Linked DNA regions of Tribolium castaneum. Each later gene encodes a partner of the first gene's protein in a complex. Links are inferred from orthologs where the notes say so. Each region holds a gene or a part of one and is shown in the gene's direction. Other genes may lie near its edges. The genes, in order: BicD and Lis-1.

Region 1 (5,643 bases):
TTATTCGCATTAACCCTTTAAGCCGTGAAAAATTGGAATTAGAGTGGTATCACAGTTGATGTTCTCATTATTATTATTTATTCATACTTTATAATTGGTTTTGGTTCAGTTACTGTGACTGAATTGTTATGTAGGAGCGTGCGTTAGCAGTCTCGCAAACACTTCTACATTTTTGCATAAATTGCTTTCATATTTCGACCGTTGTATTCTTATCTTCAGCTGATTAAAATTAGCCCATGATGAAAGCTCCTTTTAAAATTATTGAAAGCGTTACTTATTTATTATCTTTTTGTTTTATAGGCCTTGGCAAAGTTCCAATCTAGTCATAAAGTAACAACTAAAACTGGAATAGAAACGGAAGAATCCCTGCTATCTGAATCCGCCGCGCGCGAAACATCGCTCAATTCCCAAATAATCGAATTGGAAAACGAAATAAAGCAGCTGCGTCATGAGTTGGACCGCGTCACCACCGAGCGAGACCGCATGCTGCAGGAGAACACCGATATGGGCAAAGACAAGGAAGATCGAAGCATGGAGTGCAAGAAATTACGAACGGAACTCCGCGAAATCAAATTTCGAGAAAATCGTTTGATCAACGACTACGCCGAGCTAGAAGAAGAGAACATAGCCTTACAAAAACAAGTCTCAGCTTTAAAAAGCTCGCAAGTGGAGTTTGAAAGTCTAAAACACGAGATCCGGCGACTGCACGAAGAAATGGAACTGTTGAACCTCCAGGTGGAAGAGCTGACAAACTTGAAGAAAATCGCCGAGAAACACATGGAGGAGGCCTTGGAGTCGCTGCAAGCCGAACGTGAGGCCAAATACGCGCTGAAGAAGGAACTGGACCAACATATTAACCGAGACACGTTCTACAATATCAATAATCTGGCGTACAGTATTCGGGGAATGAGCGATGAGCCGACTTTGGGGAGTGACGGTGAGGACGATATTCCCGGCTTGAAGCGGCTGGAGGCGACTTTGGGGAGTGGAAGTGCCTCAGAATTGGCTTCGCCTGACGATAAACAGGTCGATTTGTTCTCCGAAGTCCACTTGAACGAACTGAGAAAGTTGGAAAAGCAGTTGGAACAACTGGAGAAGGAAAAACTAACTCTGACACAAAATTTGCGCGATAACCAGGCAATGGTGGAGAAGAGTCAAGGCGAACTACAAGTTTTCATTGCAAGACTGACACAACTGGCGGCTCATGTCGATTCTTTGCAGCATTTGTCGCAGAATGTTGACAAAAATGTATCCCAACCGGCACAAGAGGCTGGTAAAATTCTAAATCAGTACCAGCAGTGGTTCAAAATGTCCTGTAAAGAGATCGAACAGCTGAAGCAGGATATTCGTGAATTGGAGAAGTTGACGAATATCTCAGACGCTACCCTACAGCTGCGCACCGAAATCACGAATTTGAAAAATAAGTTGTCGGATACGGAGCAGAGGAGTATGGACTTGGAGGCCGATTTGAAATTGTTGAGAGAGTTTGCTAGTGAAGCTGGAACTTCATTGGATGAAACTCAGAATAATTTACAAACTGTTACTGATGAGCTTGCTCAGTTGTACCATCATGTGTGTACTGTTAACGGGGAGACGCCCACGAGAGTGGTTTTGGATCACGAGAAGGAAGGAATGACGCCTAGTAAGTGGCTTAGTTGTATAAAACTAAGAGGCGAAACGGTATTAAAAATTTTCGTACTCAAAAATATTTCGTTTCGGCACCAAATTGTTTTAAAGTAATTGAATCCCTTAAATCCTGACCTCTTGTTATTTAAAATTAAATTATGAGAGATAACTTTGACCGAAAATTAAGTTGAGTTTTTTTTTCTATGTATACCAGTAATAATAATTCTTGCAAAAAGTGCGTTTTTCTTACGAAAAATTAGACACGAGAAACGAGACTTCAAGCAGTTTTAAATTAATTAAAATTCAACTATTATTTTCATCAATTGCTTGAAAAAAAAGGGAAGGCTGTGGAGAATCAAATTCATAATAAGCTGAAAAAAACTGATGACTAAAATTCCGATACAATAAACTCTTATATGGCGTTTTCATCCAAACTATAGCATAACTCGTTCTTTTGAGCCAGAATATGGCGTTTTCAGTCTGTTGACTCATTTCTAAGCAAAGAATCTTTCGAAATAAGCCGTTTTCATCTAAATTAAAACATAATTTGTTCTTTTGAGTTAGAATATGGCGTTTTCAGTGTGTTTTATGAAGTTTTCTCCGTTCTAAGTAAAGAATCGTTTGAAATAAACCATTTTCATCCAAACTATTACTTAACTTTCTATTTTAAGTCAAAATATGTCGTTTTCAATCTGTTTTGTGTAAGTTTGCTTACTTCTAAGCAATAAATCGGCTAAAATAAGCCGTTTGTAGGCATTTTAATTTTCTATAATTTTGTCCTTTACACTTATTAAGCTTCTCTACGAGTATAATGTTAAAAAAATTATCTTTTATAAAGTCGTTTTACACTTTAGTTCGTTACATTTATGTTTAATTGAAATAAATAAAAAATAATTCTTTTATCGTTATGATTACGTATTATGTTTAATCACAAATTCGAAAAATTTGTTCGAAATAGAATACATTTAGTTATCTCTGCGTAATTTCATCCAACCAGTTATTTAATTCAGCCGGTTCACTATTTATTTGGAAAAAAAGAAAGCTAACGACTAAAATTTTCCATGGAAAACATGAGAAAAAAATGATAAACTAGTAGAGTTAAAAATACAATTACTAGAAAATAAAAATAATAAAATCTTTTTTAAAAAAAGTCTTGGCCACCATAAGATGATTCGTTATCGGGGAGAAGCAATTTAAATCAAAAGCGTCAAAGATGAGATATGTGTTCTTTACACGTTTTTTGTTATGAAAAATAAAGTTCAGAGCCAATAATAATAATAATTGCTAATTTGTAGTTTTTAAAATATTTATCTGGTTGAATTTTTGTAATAATAATCATTATTTATTTATTGTATTAAGGATTGGCTTATAGAAGAATTAATTTAATCCGCAATTAAATTGCTGATTAACTGATCACGTAAGCAGATGCTTTCATTCACGAATTTAATGTTTTATCGGACTTCAATTTTTTGTCTCATTTTTATTTAAATTCGGCCTTTTTATGTAATTAAAATGTCGAGGCCAGGTCACGGTTTAAATTTCTGATTTTCAGTGTCGGAAACTGCGCCACCAATTGGCGAAATGTCCAAAATCGAATTGTTGCGAAGCCGCCTCAAGAGCGACATTCCCTTGCACGATCTTGAAGTCTTAAATGACGCGGCTGTTGTCGCTCGAAATGTTTGCACCATCGTGGACCAAATCAAACATCTCCGAAACGCCATTGAAAATACCATCGAATTATCGAAAACAAAGAGGGAAAAATCGAATGGATTATATGAATGTGAGTTAGGTAAAAAAACAGTCAGTCATTTTGTAACACTTTTTATTAGCAAGCAAAGATGAAAACAGCGAAGAAATCGCCGAATTACAAGAGCAAGTCATAAGATTGAAGAGTTTGCTGTCGACCAAACGCGAACAGATTGCCACGTTACGAACCGTCCTAAAATCAAACAAAAATACTGCCGAAGTGGCACTGACGAACCTCAAAGCCAAGTACGAAAACGAGAAAACAATTGTATCCGAGACGATGATGAAGCTCCGAAACGAGTTGCGAATGTTGAAGGAGGACGCAGCCACATTTTCAAGTAAGGTGGATTTGGTTCAGTTTAAATTTTACGAAAATTATTAAAGGTTTGCGTGCGATGTTTGCCGCCCGTTGCGAAGAGTACGTGACGCAAGTCGACGAGCTCCAGCAGCAGTTGAGCGCAGCCGAAGAAGAGAAGAAGACTTTGAACCAGCTGTTGAGATTAGCCGTTCAGCAAAAGCTGGGTCTGACTCAGCGGCTCGAAGAGCTGGAGGTGGACAGAGAAATCAGAAACGCACGTAAGCCAAACAACCGCAATTTTCAGCGCCCTGGACGGTCGAACAGAGACATGTTCTAGCGCAGGTCGAAACCTGTGGTTTACGCGATTGCATTTATCACCACATTCTTTAAACTTTGAAATTTCTAACACTACACTTTAATCGGCTATAACGTAACGAATTGTGACAATTCACAAAAATTCAAGTATTTTATTGTTTATTTAACGAAATGTGAGGTAAACTGTGCATTTATGTGTTTGGTTTGGCGACTTTTTATGCATACTCAGACTAATTTATTCTACTTGTATTGGCTAGTACTAATTTTCGGTTTAGTAAAGTGGCCAATTAGCTGCCAAAAGTTTCGTAATTCAGATTTAGTTATAGATTACGTTCAAGTAGCATTTCTAAGGTATATCTCTTGATTAATAGTGGAATATTATGACGGTAGAGTAGCCTATACTTGGATTTAATTATGAAATGATATATTTATTGGTAGATGTGACCCATATTTCGTGTGATGTATAGACTTTAACCATGTTTTAGTTATTAACATATTTATTTAGTCTACTTAGTCCTACAAGGGATTCATGCAATATACGTTAGTTAGTCATTCTTTGGTGGTGTGAACTAAAATAATATTCGATAAACCGCTAGTCTTCGAGACTGGTCACGGTGGCGCTACGCTCGAGGGCATTTCGTCTCGAGAAAAATTAAAAACTGCGTACATTTATTTTCTAACTGTGGTACTAAAATCTAATTGTTACGGTTTATAAAAAATAGTTAAAACTTGTTAAGACGTAGGCTAAGAATAATATTGTGAAGTGACGGCGAATTGCCGTCATTCTAATAGTAAATATGATATCACAATTCGTCTTTTCCGTTGGTTCTGAGTCCATATGATAATCATGAAATGACGTTTGTTGATTATTTGTCCTGTTTCCGAGCCTATGGACCACGGAAATGCCCGTCCCTTACAATAATATAAAAATCCTTAATGTTGAGAATGAAATGTGCATGCTCTAACACTTATATTTTTGTTACTTGGTACACGTACCAACAGAAACTTAGATCTTCTGTTTGTTTCGTTCGTCAGACAGCTAACCTGTTATATTCTTTTTGATATTTATTGTTATAAATTATTTTAACATTGCTTATATGTGGTTAATGTTACTTAATTGTACCTAATATTTTTAATATAATTATTACTTTATCACAAGGACCGTTATTGCACCCATGGGAATGTACAAAAAAACATGCGTAGAAAAGATATATTTATTCTATATTTTCAAAGAAATCACAAAAAATATAGTTCCTCTTATTACAGTACGTTTGCGTGAATTTTAATATTTTTTATTAAACAGCATACAAAAGAAAATGTAAACATGAAACAGACATGAGTAAATATAAATAAGTCACGTGAAATGATATGATACCTCCTAGTAGAGAAACAGAGAGTAATAATTTACTGTGAAGTTGGAAGAGCTACTTTACGATTGAAGTGTCTTTCGCAAATTTGTCATTCTGCGTATTTACATAATAGATGTACAAACTATTGTGCAAAATGACTAACATATTTACAATATACATTACATAAGTTTGCTATTTATCTATTGATACACACACTTCATAAACAGCAATAGTTCCACAATAATAAAACTGGAAGTGGTAGTAATGAAGATTTTATTAGAAAGTATAAAAACAAAACTGAGAACACAA
Region 2 (13,609 bases), on another chromosome or scaffold:
ACTTGTCACTAGCACTGTCACTGGGATTTTCATACTTTGAAAAACCGTAAAAAATCACAAATTGTGCTTTTTTAAAGTAATGAAAAGTAAAAAGTGTACTATTTGTGCGAATTTGTATTTTGTGTTGCTCGCCTAGCCTTTCCGCAGCCTTTCCCCCTAAACTTTCCCCAAATTCCCCATCCGTTGGCAATACTGCTCTTACTCACGCAGTTTTGTCATTTCGTATCGCCAGTGTTCGCGACCGTTACAAGTGTCCAGTGTCTCTGTTATCGCCTTTTAACCAAATCGCAGTGAAATAGTGTCTTGGATAATCACTTTATCACACCTTGTAAGTAAAATTTCCCCTTTATCACTTTCACAGCCGCCTATCCGGCGGAAATCCCAGACGAATTGACATTGGCCAAAGCAAAATGGCCGATATTGATTTTGTCTAAAAGGCCACAAAACGGGAAAATGCCATTTTCCGAGACAATTTTCCGCGGTAGCGGTCATTAAACCCGCCCCCCTTTGCCCAATCGGCGGCTGGACTGCCTGTCGCGCTTTTGGCGGGGCTCAAGGGGGCTGTCGCTGGTCCAAAGTACAGTCTGGGACGCAAGTAATGACGAGACTAGTAAACAAATGAACGTTACGTCATTCGAGCACGGCCAACTTTGCAAAACCGTTTCCTGTCATCGTTACGGTAACGTGATACTCGGTTTGGGGGCTTCGCCCTAATTCTAATCCGTTTAGAACGATTCTATCGATTAAACTTTGGGTTTGGTTAAAATGTTAAATTCTTGCGTGGGCAAATGTCAAAATCGTGTGTTTGTGATTGTTCCAGGTAATGCAATAGAAGATTTCTGAAAGTCGAGCCCCGGAACATTAACATGAAAATGGTTCTGTCTCAACGCCAGCGAGAGGAGCTGTAAGTAAAAAATTCATTCACTGATTCATTGTCACATTTTTTATCAGACCCGAGACACTTTATTGTGCACTTTGTTGCGTAGATAAAAACAAAAAAATATATTCGGGTTATCGGTCGATTTTCAATTAAATTATGTGTTGCTTGCGAACCTGTTTTTGCCGTTACCGGACATATCAAGGAGGCTTTGATCATGACAGCTGTCATTATTCATGGCCGACTGTTTAAAAGAATTCATCTTGCTAGCAGCTATGCAATACCGTTGCAAATTACGCGTTACGGTAAATTTTGCTGCACTTGGGACGAAAAAACCGAATTACGATACGTGTGTAGTATTTTCACTTTTAGAAAGTCCGAAAATTCGTCGAGTCGCACGCTGAATTATCAAACAAAAGAAAAACGGAATTTCAAATTTCTCTCGCAGGATGTAAGTAATTAAAGTGAAAAAAATATGTAGGGGAGGTCGGCTACAGTTAGGGATTAACCGTAAGAGAGTGTAGTGAACTTGAAAGTAATTTTCAGGTTATCTCGGTCAATCGCTTTCAGAACGCTCCAAGGAACGCAAAAATAATGCGAGGAGTGGTTTATTATCGGAAAATTTTTCGTATTATAATATTTAAGGGAGTTGTCCTTGCGAATCGTAGGCGGCGTTGCTGAAAATCAATACAGATCGGGACGTCACTGCGTAGTTACGGACGCTACCGTCTTTTTTTTTTTTTTTTCATTGCCAAGGTGACGTTTGTTTACGAGGGTGTTAAAATAGCCGCCGCCTCGGATATTTTTGATAATTGCAGCGTAATGAACTTGGGGGATTACATACTTGTCTGGCGGATGTCTTAAAATATCTCGAGAGGGGCAAAAAATTAATTAACGACGGGAACTGTTTTTGTTAATTAACTCTACGAGTTGTTTATTGTTCTAATTGACTAAAATTGGTTAAGGATTGAAAGTTAAAAGTGAAAGGTTGTTAGAACTGACAGATGATGATTTAATTATTAGTGCTAATTTTTTTGGAGGCGACAGTGGGTCACCGATAAAAATATAATTGGAAAACATTGTCATTGATAAAATACGTTGATACATATTTCGCTTTAAAATATCAATAAATAATCGTCGAGGTCAGTTCGCGTGACCACAGAGAGGATTTCACTTTTTAAACAGGTGTTGAATAATAAAAAAACTATTTGTTTGAATAGAGTAAAAAATAATTGATAATTTTGTAATTGACTTGGGAAACATTTTATTGCACAGTTTTGCAGTTTTACGTAAAAACGACTCAAGAACTTCCGAGTAAATCGAGGATAGTAAGTTCCTGTTACTTCCGGTAATTACAAATATGGGAAGAAAACTGAAGTTACAAGAACATTACACGATTCTAGGCCTCGTCTTGTTTATTTATTTACCAGTGAAGGTTTTGTTTTATTTGTTTTTCCATACATCTAAATATTTTATGTGGCTTGTAAACAGTTTTTGAATAATTAGATTTTTCTGTCCAGAAAAAAATTAATAAAATTAAAAAATCCTCTAATTCCCAAAAATTTCGAAATCCTTAATCCTTGAAAACTATCCGGGACTTGTCTACTATTGCTTTTCTTCAATAATTTCTTATTTTTAAATTTAAAAAAGAAAACATAAATTTTTATACTTTGTCTTCTTGTATATAATTGAAAATTTTGGGGATTTTCCAGAAAAATCGGGTCGTAGCTCCATAATTTTAATTGCAAATGTCTTATGTTCAAAAATTGTCTTTGGAATTTTTAAATTTTAACCGATATTTGGACAAATCTACATCCTTTAGATTTTTTAAATAAAGTTTTAAAAAATAGATAAAAAAATAGTCACAAATTTTGAGAACCACTGAACTGGTATAGAAAACCGCTGAAAAAAACTAGCTTGTATTTTTAATTAAAAAACGGCAGACGTAAATTAACTTTTTGGTTCACTCCACATGTCATTTTGTGTTTTCTTTATTAAATTTTATGAAAAAAACAAAAATGTGCCAAACCGGGATTCGAACCTCCTTCTCAGATAAATATGCTAACAACAAGTTTGAAACATTTTTCGTGTAATAATGTTTATTTAAAGGAAAACTTTTTTATAAAATAGTATGTATAGTATATAAAATTACAAAACCAACGAAAAATAAAAGTAAATTCTAAAATTAATTGATTTATTATTATTTTTTATTAATATCTGAACTTTGAATTTGTCTAATTTTTAAGCAAATAAAACTATTTTTTTGGGTGTATTTTTTTCAAAAATTCAAGTTTTTGGAATTTTTTGAAATTATCGGTTATTAAAATAATTTCTGTATGTTATAGTTTTTTGTCTTAATTTGTAGAAATCGATTTATTAATTTTTTTTTATTAATTTGTCGCAAAATCAGGTCTCGGAATTTGCTGAGTTTGCTTTTGTTTCTTTAATGACTCTCTTTATTGATTTTAAGCAAAACCTTGAATTCGTTTGTTATTTTTACGTCGTTTGACCGTGAGCTATTGATTCATGTAAATTTTCTTTTATTAATAAAATACTCGTCTCGTCCATATAATAAGACCCCCTTACATCACCCACATTTGTGTTTATTTTATTACATCACTTGTGATTTTTGCAGTAACAAAGCCATCGCTGATTACCTCAGTAGCAACGGTTACATGAACGCACTAGAAGCGTTCAAAAAAGAAACGGACATGCCCGGCGAACTCGAGCGCAAATTCGGCGGTCTTCTCGAAAAAAAATGGACATCTGTGATACGTCTCCAGAAGAAAGTGATGGAACTCGAATCGAAACTCCACGAAGCCGAAAAGGAATACATCGAGGGGGCACCAACTCGCGGCAAACGCAGTCCAGCCGAATGGATCCCCAGACCCCCTGAGAAATACGCCCTGACGGGGCACCGAGCCCCCGTCACACGTGTCATATTCCATCCGTTGTTTAGTCTCTTTGTATCGACAAGTGAAGATGCTACGATTAAAGTCTGGGATTTTGAGACAGGGGAATACGAGAGGACCCTCAAAGGCCACTCGGATGCCGTTCAAGACGTCGCTTTCGACGCCACAGGAAAACTGCTAGTTTCCTGTAGCGCCGATATGTCGATTAAATTATGGGATTTCCAACAGAGTTACGAATGCATCCGAACGATGCTCGGGCATGATCACAATATATCATCGGTGGCGTTCATGCCAGCGGGGGATTTTGTCGTTTCGTCAAGTCGCGATAAAACCATCAAAATGTGGGAGGTTTCGACCGGTTATTGTGTCAAAACCTTTACAGGACACAAGGATTGGGTCAGAGTTGTGCGGCCATCGCCCGATGGTCAACTCTTGGCCAGTTGTTCCAACGATCAGACCATCAGAATATGGCAGGTTTATACGAAGGAATGTCGAGCTGAGTTGAGAGCACACGAACACGTTGTCGAATTCGTAGCATGGGCACCTGATTCGGCTGCGAATGCCATCAATGAAGCGGCAGGAGTCGATAATAAGAAGGGGGCACATATGGGACCGTTTCTGGCGTCGTGTTCCAGGGATAAGACGATCAGGTGAGAGGGGGCCGCGTTTTACGCCTAAACTAGACGGCCGAAAATTTTGATAAAATCACAGCTAAGACAAAAGGGCGTGGGGCACGTCGTGGCCAAATTTGAACAAAATCGAACGAGCGGTTTCCGAGATATTGACACTTGTAGCTGGGAGGGGGGGTCAGCTGTAACACCAAAACTGGGCGTTCAAAAAATTTGGAAAAATCACAGTAGGGGCAAGGAGGGCTGAGCTACGCTTGGTGCAAATTTGGAGGAAATCAAATCATCGGTTTGCGAAATACTGGGGGTTGAATTTGAGGAGATTGGTCACGTGTAACATTGAAACTCTACGTTCAAAAAATTTGGAAAAATTACAGTAGAGGGCAAAGGGGCTGAGCTATATCTAGTACAAATTTGGACGAAATCGAACGATCGGTTTGCGAAATATCGGGGGTTGAGCCTGGGAGGGGGGCCGCTTGTAACACCGAGACTGGGCGTTCAAAACATTTGGAAAAATCACAGTAGGGGCAAAGGGGGCTGAGCTACGCTTGGTGCAAATTTGGAGGAAATCAAATCATCGGTTTGCGAAATACTGGGGGTTGAATTTGAGGAGATTGGTCACGTGTAACATTGAAACTCTACGTTCAAAAAATTTGGAAAAATTACAGTAGGGGGCAAAGGGGCTGAGCTACGCTTGGTGCAAATTTGGAGGAAATCAAATCATCGGTTTGCGAAATACTGGGGGTTGAATTTGAGGAGATTGGTCACGTGTAACATTGAAACTGTACGTTCAAAAAATTTGGAAAAATTACAGTAGGGGGCAAAGGGGCTGAGCTATATCTAGTACAAATTTGGACGAAATCGAACGATCGGTTTGCGAAATATCGGGGGTTGAGCCTGGGAAGGGGGCCGCTTGTAACACCGAGACTGGGCGTTCAAAACATTTGGAAAAATCACAGTAGGGGCAAAGGGGGCTGAGCTACGCTTGGTGCAAATTTGGACGAAATCAAACCACCGGTTTGCGAAATACTGGGGGTTGAATTTGAGGAGATTGGTCACGTGTAACATTGAAACTCTACGTTCAAAAAATTTGGAAAAATTACAGTAGAGGGCAAAGGGGCTGAGCTATATCTAGTACAAATTTGGACGAAATCGAACGATCGGTTTGCGAAATATCGGGGGTTGAGCCTGGGAGGGGGGCCGCTTGTAACACCGAGACTGGGCGTTCAAAACATTTGGAAAAATCACAGTAGGGGCAAAGGGGGCTGAGCTACGCTTGGTGCAAATTTGGCGGAAATCAAATCATCGGTTTGCGAAATACTGGGGGTTGAATTTGAGGAGATTGGTCACGTGTAACATTGAAACTCTACGTTCAAAAAATTTGGAAAAATTACAGTAGGGGGCAAGGGGGCTGAGCTACGCTTGGTGCAAATTTGGAGGAAATCAAATCATCGGTTTGCGAAATACTGGGGGTTGAATTTGAGGAGATTGGTCACGTGTAACATTGAAACTGTACGTTCAAAAAATTTGGAAAAATTACAGTAGGGGGCAAAGGGGCTGAGCTATATCTAGTACAAATTTGGACGAAATCGAACGATCGGTTTGCGAAATATCGGGGGTTGAGCCTGGGAAGGGGGCCGCTTGTAACACCGAGACTGGGCGTTCAAAACATTTGGAAAAATCACAGTAGGGGCAAAGGGGGCTGAGCTACGCTTGGTGCAAATTTGGACGAAATCAAACCACCGGTTTGCGAAATATTGGGGGTTGAATTTGAGTAGATTGGTCACGTGTAACATTGAAGCTCTACGTTCAAAAAATTCGGAAAAATTACAGTAGGGGGCAAAGGGGCTGAGCTATATCTAGTGCAAATTTGGACGAAATCGAACGATCGGTTTGCGAAATATCGGGGGTTGAGGCTGGGAGGGGGGCCGCTTGTAACACTGAGACTGGGCGTTCAAAAAATTTGGAAAAATCACAGTGGGGAGTAGGGGGGTTGAGCTACGCTGTGTGTAAGTTAGGGCGGAATTGTATGTTGGGGAACTTTGTTTTGTAGGATATGGGATGTGGGCGCCGGCGTGGCTCTCTTCGTGCTGATTGGCCACGACAATTGGGTGCGAGGGGCAGTTTTCCATCCGGGTGGTAAATTTTTAGTGTCGGTTAGTGACGACAAAACGTTGAGAGTTTGGGATTTGCGAAATAAGCGCTGTTTAAAGACGTTAGATGCTCACAAACACTTTTGTACGTCTGTAGGTAAGTTGGTTGAGGTTTTGTTGCAGGGTTTGTTCTGATTGGTGGTCGTTTCAGATTTCCACAAATCACATCCTTATGTGATTTCGGGGAGTGTAGATCTAACGGTGAAAGTGTGGGAATGCCGTTAAGTTATAGTAAAACTTTTTTTTCACGGTTGCAGTGTAATTTAATTATTTAAGCCAAAACATTTATTCCTTTACGAAAGGTTTTATTTAGTGCAAATTCAGTTATTAAACTATTTTTTTGTGATTTGTTTTGTTTCATTAAAATTGGATTTGAGGTCTGGAATTTTTTTTCTTTTAAGTGTGAGTGACTTGTAGTTTCCGTTTAGAACAAAGTTTATTTTTGTTATATTACGATCGGTTTTTTTGTGATATATTTTTATTAGAAACTGCAAGTTAGTTATTCTTAATAAATGCTTCAGATATTTAATAAACAGGCAGTGGATATTGATGAAGTTATTATTGACACGTCTCGGTATTTTCTTGTTGTTTATTATTTTCGTTTGTTTCAAATGTATCGTGATGTGTTGGAAATGAATTCATGAAAAATTGTAGAGCTTTTTCAGTTCAGTTATTAGACACTATTTATAGGGGAAGAAATTAATATCATGTTGGTATTAATTTTTTGACATTTTAATGACAGTCGCAACTAGGTAACTATAATCCCTCTCAATGTAGATCTTGAAAATGTATATTGCACAAGTCCCGCTTAATCAGTGAAAATTATGTATTTTTTTTAATACTCATTTCATGTTTAACAAATTGATTTCCAGTAATTGTTTTAATAAAAACATCCCAAAATCGCTTGCTTACGATGTATAGTGGCACAATGTTCGTATATAGCCTTACATTGTTTTTTCGAGTAGGATATGTGAATATTTTCTTCTGTATATAAAAATAAAATTGTCTCCTTACAAGTTGTTTTATTGCCATCCCAGTCAAGACAAAAAGATTTGAATTTGGCGCTAAGGCGTAAATGGCATGTGTTGACACTTGCGCACGCGCTACTGGTTTTCAACAGCTGATTGTAAGCAAAAATTGTTTATTTTGCAAAATTACAATTTCTGAAGTTTTTGAAATATTGTGCGACCAACTGTTTACTGCATGATGCACATCGAGGACGAATTGATGGAAGAATCAGTTGATTTAATCAAAGAAGAACTAAAAACGGAACAAGAGCCGTACAAGTAAAAAACACCCTTTATTTAGTTATTTATAAAAAAAAATTGTTACAGCAAACTTTCATTAAATCCGTTAAAAATTAGCTCTATGAAGATGAAAATACGTGAAAAATTAGTCGTGCCGTGGTAATTATAACCATTTCATTTTATTTATTGATTGTTACGAAAGTTTGGTTAGTCTTTTTGACAGTATCGGGTCACGTGACCCATTTTTGACCAATCATGTGTCGTTTTAATGGCGCCAAATTTACAATATTTTAGTGAGCCCAAACCTTTAAGTCCCGTTAAGAAAATTAAAATGTTGAGGAAAAAACCAAAACCGATAAATTTCACAATTAGGAATGAAACGGAAACCAAAAGTGAAAATTTAGTCCAGCCCAAAGTGCAAACAATTAGTCAGACGTTAACTAATAACGGAAAATGTGTTTCCACTGGTGAAAATTTGACTGAAATCACAAGAAACACGAAAAAGTAGGTGTCTTCTGTGTTTTTCTTTCCTGATAATTTGTTTTAGTGAGCCAAAGACTGTTAGCCGTGCCCGCAATTTTAGGTATTTCTCTCCTGAAAAAAAATCCGGTTGTGATTAATGGTTTTCAGGCCGCGGAATGCAGCAATTCAGTTTAAGGAACAGCACCTGAAAAACCCCAGTGCCGCGAGACAAATGTGGCGAGTCGCCACTGCAGTGATAGAACAACAAAAAAAAGTTATAGCAAATTTGGAAAGTAAAAACGAGAGGCTTTGCAAGAGAAATAAACTGCTAGAAGCCGCGCTTGACGACATACAGAACTCGGCAAACACGCCCGGAAATTGCTACATTTTGCTCAAAGTAATTTTTTTAATTTATTCAATTTTTTGCTAATTTGTGCGATTCCAGAAACCGGGCGAATATTTCATCAAATGGGGTTAGATTGGATTCGTTGGAAAAGTTTTGTGGTTAATAAAGCAATTAAAACCTTTTTTGTGTTTTATTCAACCTATGATTCAAAATGACAAGCTCAGAAACAACTAAAATTTGGCTTCTTGGGTATTCCAAAGTCACAGAAAACAATTTTATCGCTAGAAACTGTGTGTGTTGTAATTAAAAGTGATTTAATAAATAATTTTACAATAAAATGCAGTTTGAATTTCGTCCTGTTAAGTTCAGCCAACCTGACCATTCAAAACCAGTCACGAATTTAAATGTTAGACGCACTAAACGAACGAATTATTTATTCACCTGTTACGAATTTATTCATTACCTGACGAGACATGCGGCTACTTAACGCCCCTTTTATTTTCTCTTTACAACAGTTTGAGTGTTGATTGATGAGGTTGGCGCCTCTGGTTGTCAGTCACCAAAATAACAAACGTCAAATTTTAATGTTTTTTAAGGCGTAAAAGCGCAACAAAAAGTGATGGCTTTAAGTAATATCGTATTGCTTAGCCAAATCGCCGGTTATGTGATAGCTTTTATCTTATCGTTATGCATAGTTGTTCCTATGAGTTTGCACCAGGATGAATTCAGGTTAGTGGCTCCTTTGTTGCCAAAACTACAATATCTCGTTCCAGGGGTCATTGCTTGTTGTTTTCGACCGGCGTGTGGCAGGAGGCCGACGGCCAGTTGAAAGTCGACTGGGCTTCGCAGTGCTACTGCAACTACACGATTTTTGTAGGCGTGTTGTTATGTTTAGTCTCAATCGTGCAAATCTATCGGTAGGCGAAGCCCCAAGTCTTCAACCAGCTCACTAATATCTTTCCAGCTTGTCGCTGTTCTTGTACAAAGGCACCGATAGCAGTTTTTTGTCCGCGTTCTTTGACGTCCTCACAGGCATTATTTTGTGCGGCATGACCATAATCGCAGCTTTGATGATTACTTTGGGGTTCATGGTGTGGTGCCAGAACATGACCCAACGATTCCCCTCGTAAGCCGAACACATCGTGCTTAGGAGCCACTAATCGCTCGTTTCAGGTGCGAATTAGCAGCTGGTCAAGCGATTGATAAACAGGACGGTATTAACACCACCAATTTTTACATCGAGTTGGGGACTGCACAGTTTGGCGTTTGGGGCTCCTTTGCCACGTGGGTGGGGCTGTCCGTGTTCGCACTTTTGAAGCTGTGCCGCTACCACCAGTTGGAAAATATCAGAGTGTCAATGTACAGAGAACGGCAGAGACTGATCAACGAAAACTCAGAGTCGCCTGGAAGCTCGCTAGGTCGTGAGTCCACACACAGTCAAGACACCACGGCCACAGCCGCCGAGTGATTAGTTTCCGGCGTCTTGAGGTGTCCTTATTTTATAATTTACGCAATAATTCACATCTCACTTCTCATACATAACACTGTGTACCAAATAGTCGGTTTTAATTGAGTATATTGTGATAATATAATAGAGATTAGCGGCTTTTTCAAGTTGATTTTATAAGAATAAATCATTTTATTGGAAGAAACATTTTATTAAAGATTATGTACATATCGTTAACAAACAAAATTGATTTACTGTGTCACTTAAGCACCTGTTACATGGTACGTTATAAATAAAACTCTGAACATCATAATAAATAATAGGAACGATCAAATAACCGAAACTGTGATTAAGTATAACCCGGAGCATTGATTTGGAATATAAAGTTACAATGATTAAGTCAAAAGAACGAGCTTTGTTATCATCCCAAAGCTATTGCTACGAATGAGGTATGAAAAAATTTCGTTAAAAATGTATATTTTGGCCCTAATTATTTCTCCGTCAGAGACAATTGTAGTATTTCCTCAAGGATTTTTTCCTCTTGCAATCTTTGCTCTTCCTGCTTTCGGCGTTCCTGCTCTGACAGCATGAGAGCCATGTGCAGGTCCGAATCTATGTCAGGATCAGCGGCCGCGTTAGTCTCACTGCTATCTGTACTCTTTTGATAAAGCTCTAAACTGGCCTGAATAGCTCTACAACAAAGTGTCTTACTTGCAGCTAGTTAAGCAAAAAGCGGAGATAATTGATTAAACCACTAAACAATTTTTTGACAATTTTGTTATTAATAAGTACCTTTGCAACTGCCTTTCCTCCTCACCTACGAGGTTTGGAGTCGCAGGTCGCGACGGTTTCTGGGCTTTCAAGGCCTCCCAAATGTCCACCTGTAACTGAGTTAACAAAACGACAAACAATTCGTAAAATCACCTCTTCCTTTTCCGTCCCGGCATCAATTAAACTCTGCTGAATTGCAAATTGTAACAAATCGTCTTCCTCTTCCATACTGAACTGTCTGCGGCCGTCGGACGCAGCTGGAATTTTTCCGAAATTAGTGTCGAATCATTTAAAATTGAAATGATGATATGAAGCGAGTAAAATCAAACGAAATAAAAAAAAAACAAAATAATGACCCGTGCATTACCATTACCAATCTGAGAATATCCTGAGGGACATTGGAAAATACACTCGTCTAAAACACACGTTAATCTGTCCTCTTCCTGTATCCGGTGGACGTGCGCCACTTCCGCGTCTATACCGAAAATGTTGCCGAATGTTATCCTCGCGTTTAGCACGTGAAAGAGGGGGATTTCTGCAACGAAAAGCAAAAAAATCAGATTTTTTTAACAAAAGTAATCTTACCGATTTTGACGGGGAAACCCGACGGCAGCTGCATCTGTATAAAGTCCTTCAATTTGGCGAAATGCGAGCTAGAAATGGCCATTAGATCGACAATTGGAAGAATCTGTTCGGGCAGCGATAGGGGGTATTGCTCACACAGCCATAAATTCGCTTTGAATTTCTGCACTTTAACGCTAATTTCTTTAGGTCGGCCAATGTCTCGATTTTGTAAATTCACCGCCGAGTCGAAATACTCCTCGGGTGTTATATTACACGGATTACTGGACTTTGTGTATTCGTTTTGAAGGGCTGCGGCTGCTTGATTCTCTTCAACTTCCGCAATGCCTAGAAAATTCTGTAGTGGTGTTTTATTATTTCTACTTCGGGCTTTATCGCTTTCGGTTAAATGTTCGGTTCGTGTTTTCGTCACCAGTTCCACGTTCGACGCACTGAAGACTTTACACTCGTGCCCGTTCACCGCTTCACTTTTATCAGATCTCCAGCCCCACATGCCCGCTTTATTCCTGCATCGTACAATTATTAAAGAAATTAAATAGAGATTTTAAGTTGCCTCTCGAAACTGATCTTGTCCGTGTCCACGTATGTCGTGACTATGGGGGTTGTCAGTCTTTGAGAGACCGATTCTTCGGTTGGGATTAAAACGCCAAGAGCCTCGTCAGGCGCCTTCATCTCCTCACAATAGACCTGTTGGATGTCATGGTCGATTTCCATCATTGTTGCCCCATCACCTAATTATTACAATTATCATCAAAGCGAGCTGCATACACTATTTTTTCTACGATCCAGCGGTCATTATAATTTTTTTTTCTGACTAGTTACAAACTTGTATATAATCAACAACTGCTACCTCAAGCTTGCTACGAGTTACCCGTTCCGTTCAGCTTATAAACATAGCTCCGTTGGCCCCGTATTGGCGAGCACATTTGTAAGACTGTCCAATTTAGTTAACGCAGACCGAACTAATTAATTACTCACTGTGGCCTTGGAACACGTAGCTTCTGTTGCCCCTCTGCCAGCTCGTGTGGTCAAAGCCTAGCAAAGTGGTGTCTATCCGGACATTAGAGCCTTGTTTGAAGACTTTGTAAGTGTCGCTGGGGCACATTCGTGAGACCAGAGGCACTGGAAAAATTCCACTCTAAACGTGTTAGTGTTTTTGGGTTTGTTACCCCAACTAGTGAACTCCCACTTCATTTCCACGTAAAAATCTGGCGCTTCTTTGAGTTTCTGGAGCAGTTCTGGAATGCCAGCCATGCGGTTCGAATATCGTTGAAAATCGCGCCGTTCTAAAACCATATGTAACAGTTCCGGGTCACCCGTGGCCACTGCCTCTTGTACAACTGCAAAAAAACCGTGTCGGAAATTCGGGAAGGCTTATCTTAATCCGATTACCAGTCCAGCCATCTGCATTTTCACAGTTTACGTTGGCTTCGTTATTCAATAACGAACGAGCTGACTCTAAATGGCCCAAGGTGACGGCTAGCATTAGCGGGGTTCGCCCTCGATTGTCCAACTTTTCTTTATCGTCCTGCAGTGGCATTCAAGTCTAGCTAACGCACCAAATAAAGCAATTCGTTACCTCTTTCTTTTTCAGTAAAATATCCAACTGTTTATAGTCGTTCTGCCACACCAACCAGTGTAAAGGGTATTCTTTTTGGATGAAGTCGATTTCGACCATTTTTTCAAGTGTTTTAGCACCGAGTACGTTTTATATTGACGGAAACATGGTCACACTTTGCTGTTTACAAGCGATGACGACGAAATTAACACTTTAATTTTTGAAATGACAGATGTGCTATCTACCAGACGCCATATTTGATTGATGAGTCAGAAACGTCAAAATACGCTAAAGGAGCATTCACACGGACAGCCGTGCCGGGTTCACACGGCTAGTCCAGGCTTCACCTTTTCAAAATAAAATGTTACCAATGAAACACGTCTCGTTCTAATAAATATTTATTCAAATAACATATAAAATAACATAAATCCAATATAAATATGGAAAAACGTGAAATTAAATTAAGTCTTTGGTAGGTAAAACATCAACTATAGCGCGTCTAATTGATTGAAGTTAATACTGCTGCTTAAGCGTTGCCTTTGAGTTTCTCTTGCATCTGGTTCAGCATTTCTTGCATTCGCCGGATCTGCAATAATGAACAGTTTATTAAAAAAAATTGATTACAAAT

Evidence for each region.
Region 2: BicD (region 1) and Lis-1 share a complex: the UniProt entries of both Caenorhabditis elegans proteins name them as parts of the dynein-regulating complex. The link is inferred for Tribolium castaneum from reciprocal best matches to the Caenorhabditis elegans genes bicd-1 and lis-1.

Annotation. Positions count from the first base shown.
Region 1 is NC_087396.1:19,858,122-19,863,764, forward strand, and holds the end of BicD (protein bicaudal D), read left to right. Parts: intron 1-300; coding exon 301-1,642; intron 1,643-3,178; coding exon 3,179-3,406; intron 3,407-3,455; coding exon 3,456-3,710; intron 3,711-3,756; coding exon 3,757-4,007; 3' UTR 4,008-5,143; downstream 5,144-5,643. UniProt on the Caenorhabditis elegans protein: Part of a complex with dlc-1 and egal-1, which is recruited to the nuclear envelope by unc-83, where in turn, it recruits dynein to the nuclear surface and regulates nuclear migration in hypodermal precursor cells.
Region 2 is NC_087399.1:2,660,179-2,673,787, forward strand, and holds Lis-1 (lissencephaly-1 homolog), read left to right. Parts: upstream 1-171; 5' UTR 172-328; intron 329-820; 5' UTR 821-866; coding exon 867-904; intron 905-3,512; coding exon 3,513-4,439; intron 4,440-6,468; coding exon 6,469-6,665; intron 6,666-6,719; coding exon 6,720-6,793; 3' UTR 6,794-7,854; intron 7,855-7,902; 3' UTR 7,903-7,974; intron 7,975-8,109; 3' UTR 8,110-8,319; intron 8,320-8,362; 3' UTR 8,363-8,398; intron 8,399-8,445; 3' UTR 8,446-8,674; intron 8,675-8,722; 3' UTR 8,723-8,804; downstream 8,805-13,609. Other genes in the region: transmembrane protein 179, read left to right, coding at 9,243-9,352, 9,397-9,540, 9,588-9,749, 9,797-10,091; ankyrin repeat domain-containing protein 13D, read right to left, coding at 10,561-10,762, 10,863-10,951, 10,995-11,098, 11,209-11,376, 11,427-11,929, 11,977-12,154, 12,402-12,545, 12,593-12,763 and 2 more; Septin4 (septin-2), read right to left, coding at 13,508-13,567. UniProt on the Caenorhabditis elegans protein: Positively regulates the activity of the minus-end directed microtubule motor protein dynein. May enhance dynein-mediated microtubule sliding by targeting dynein to the microtubule plus end.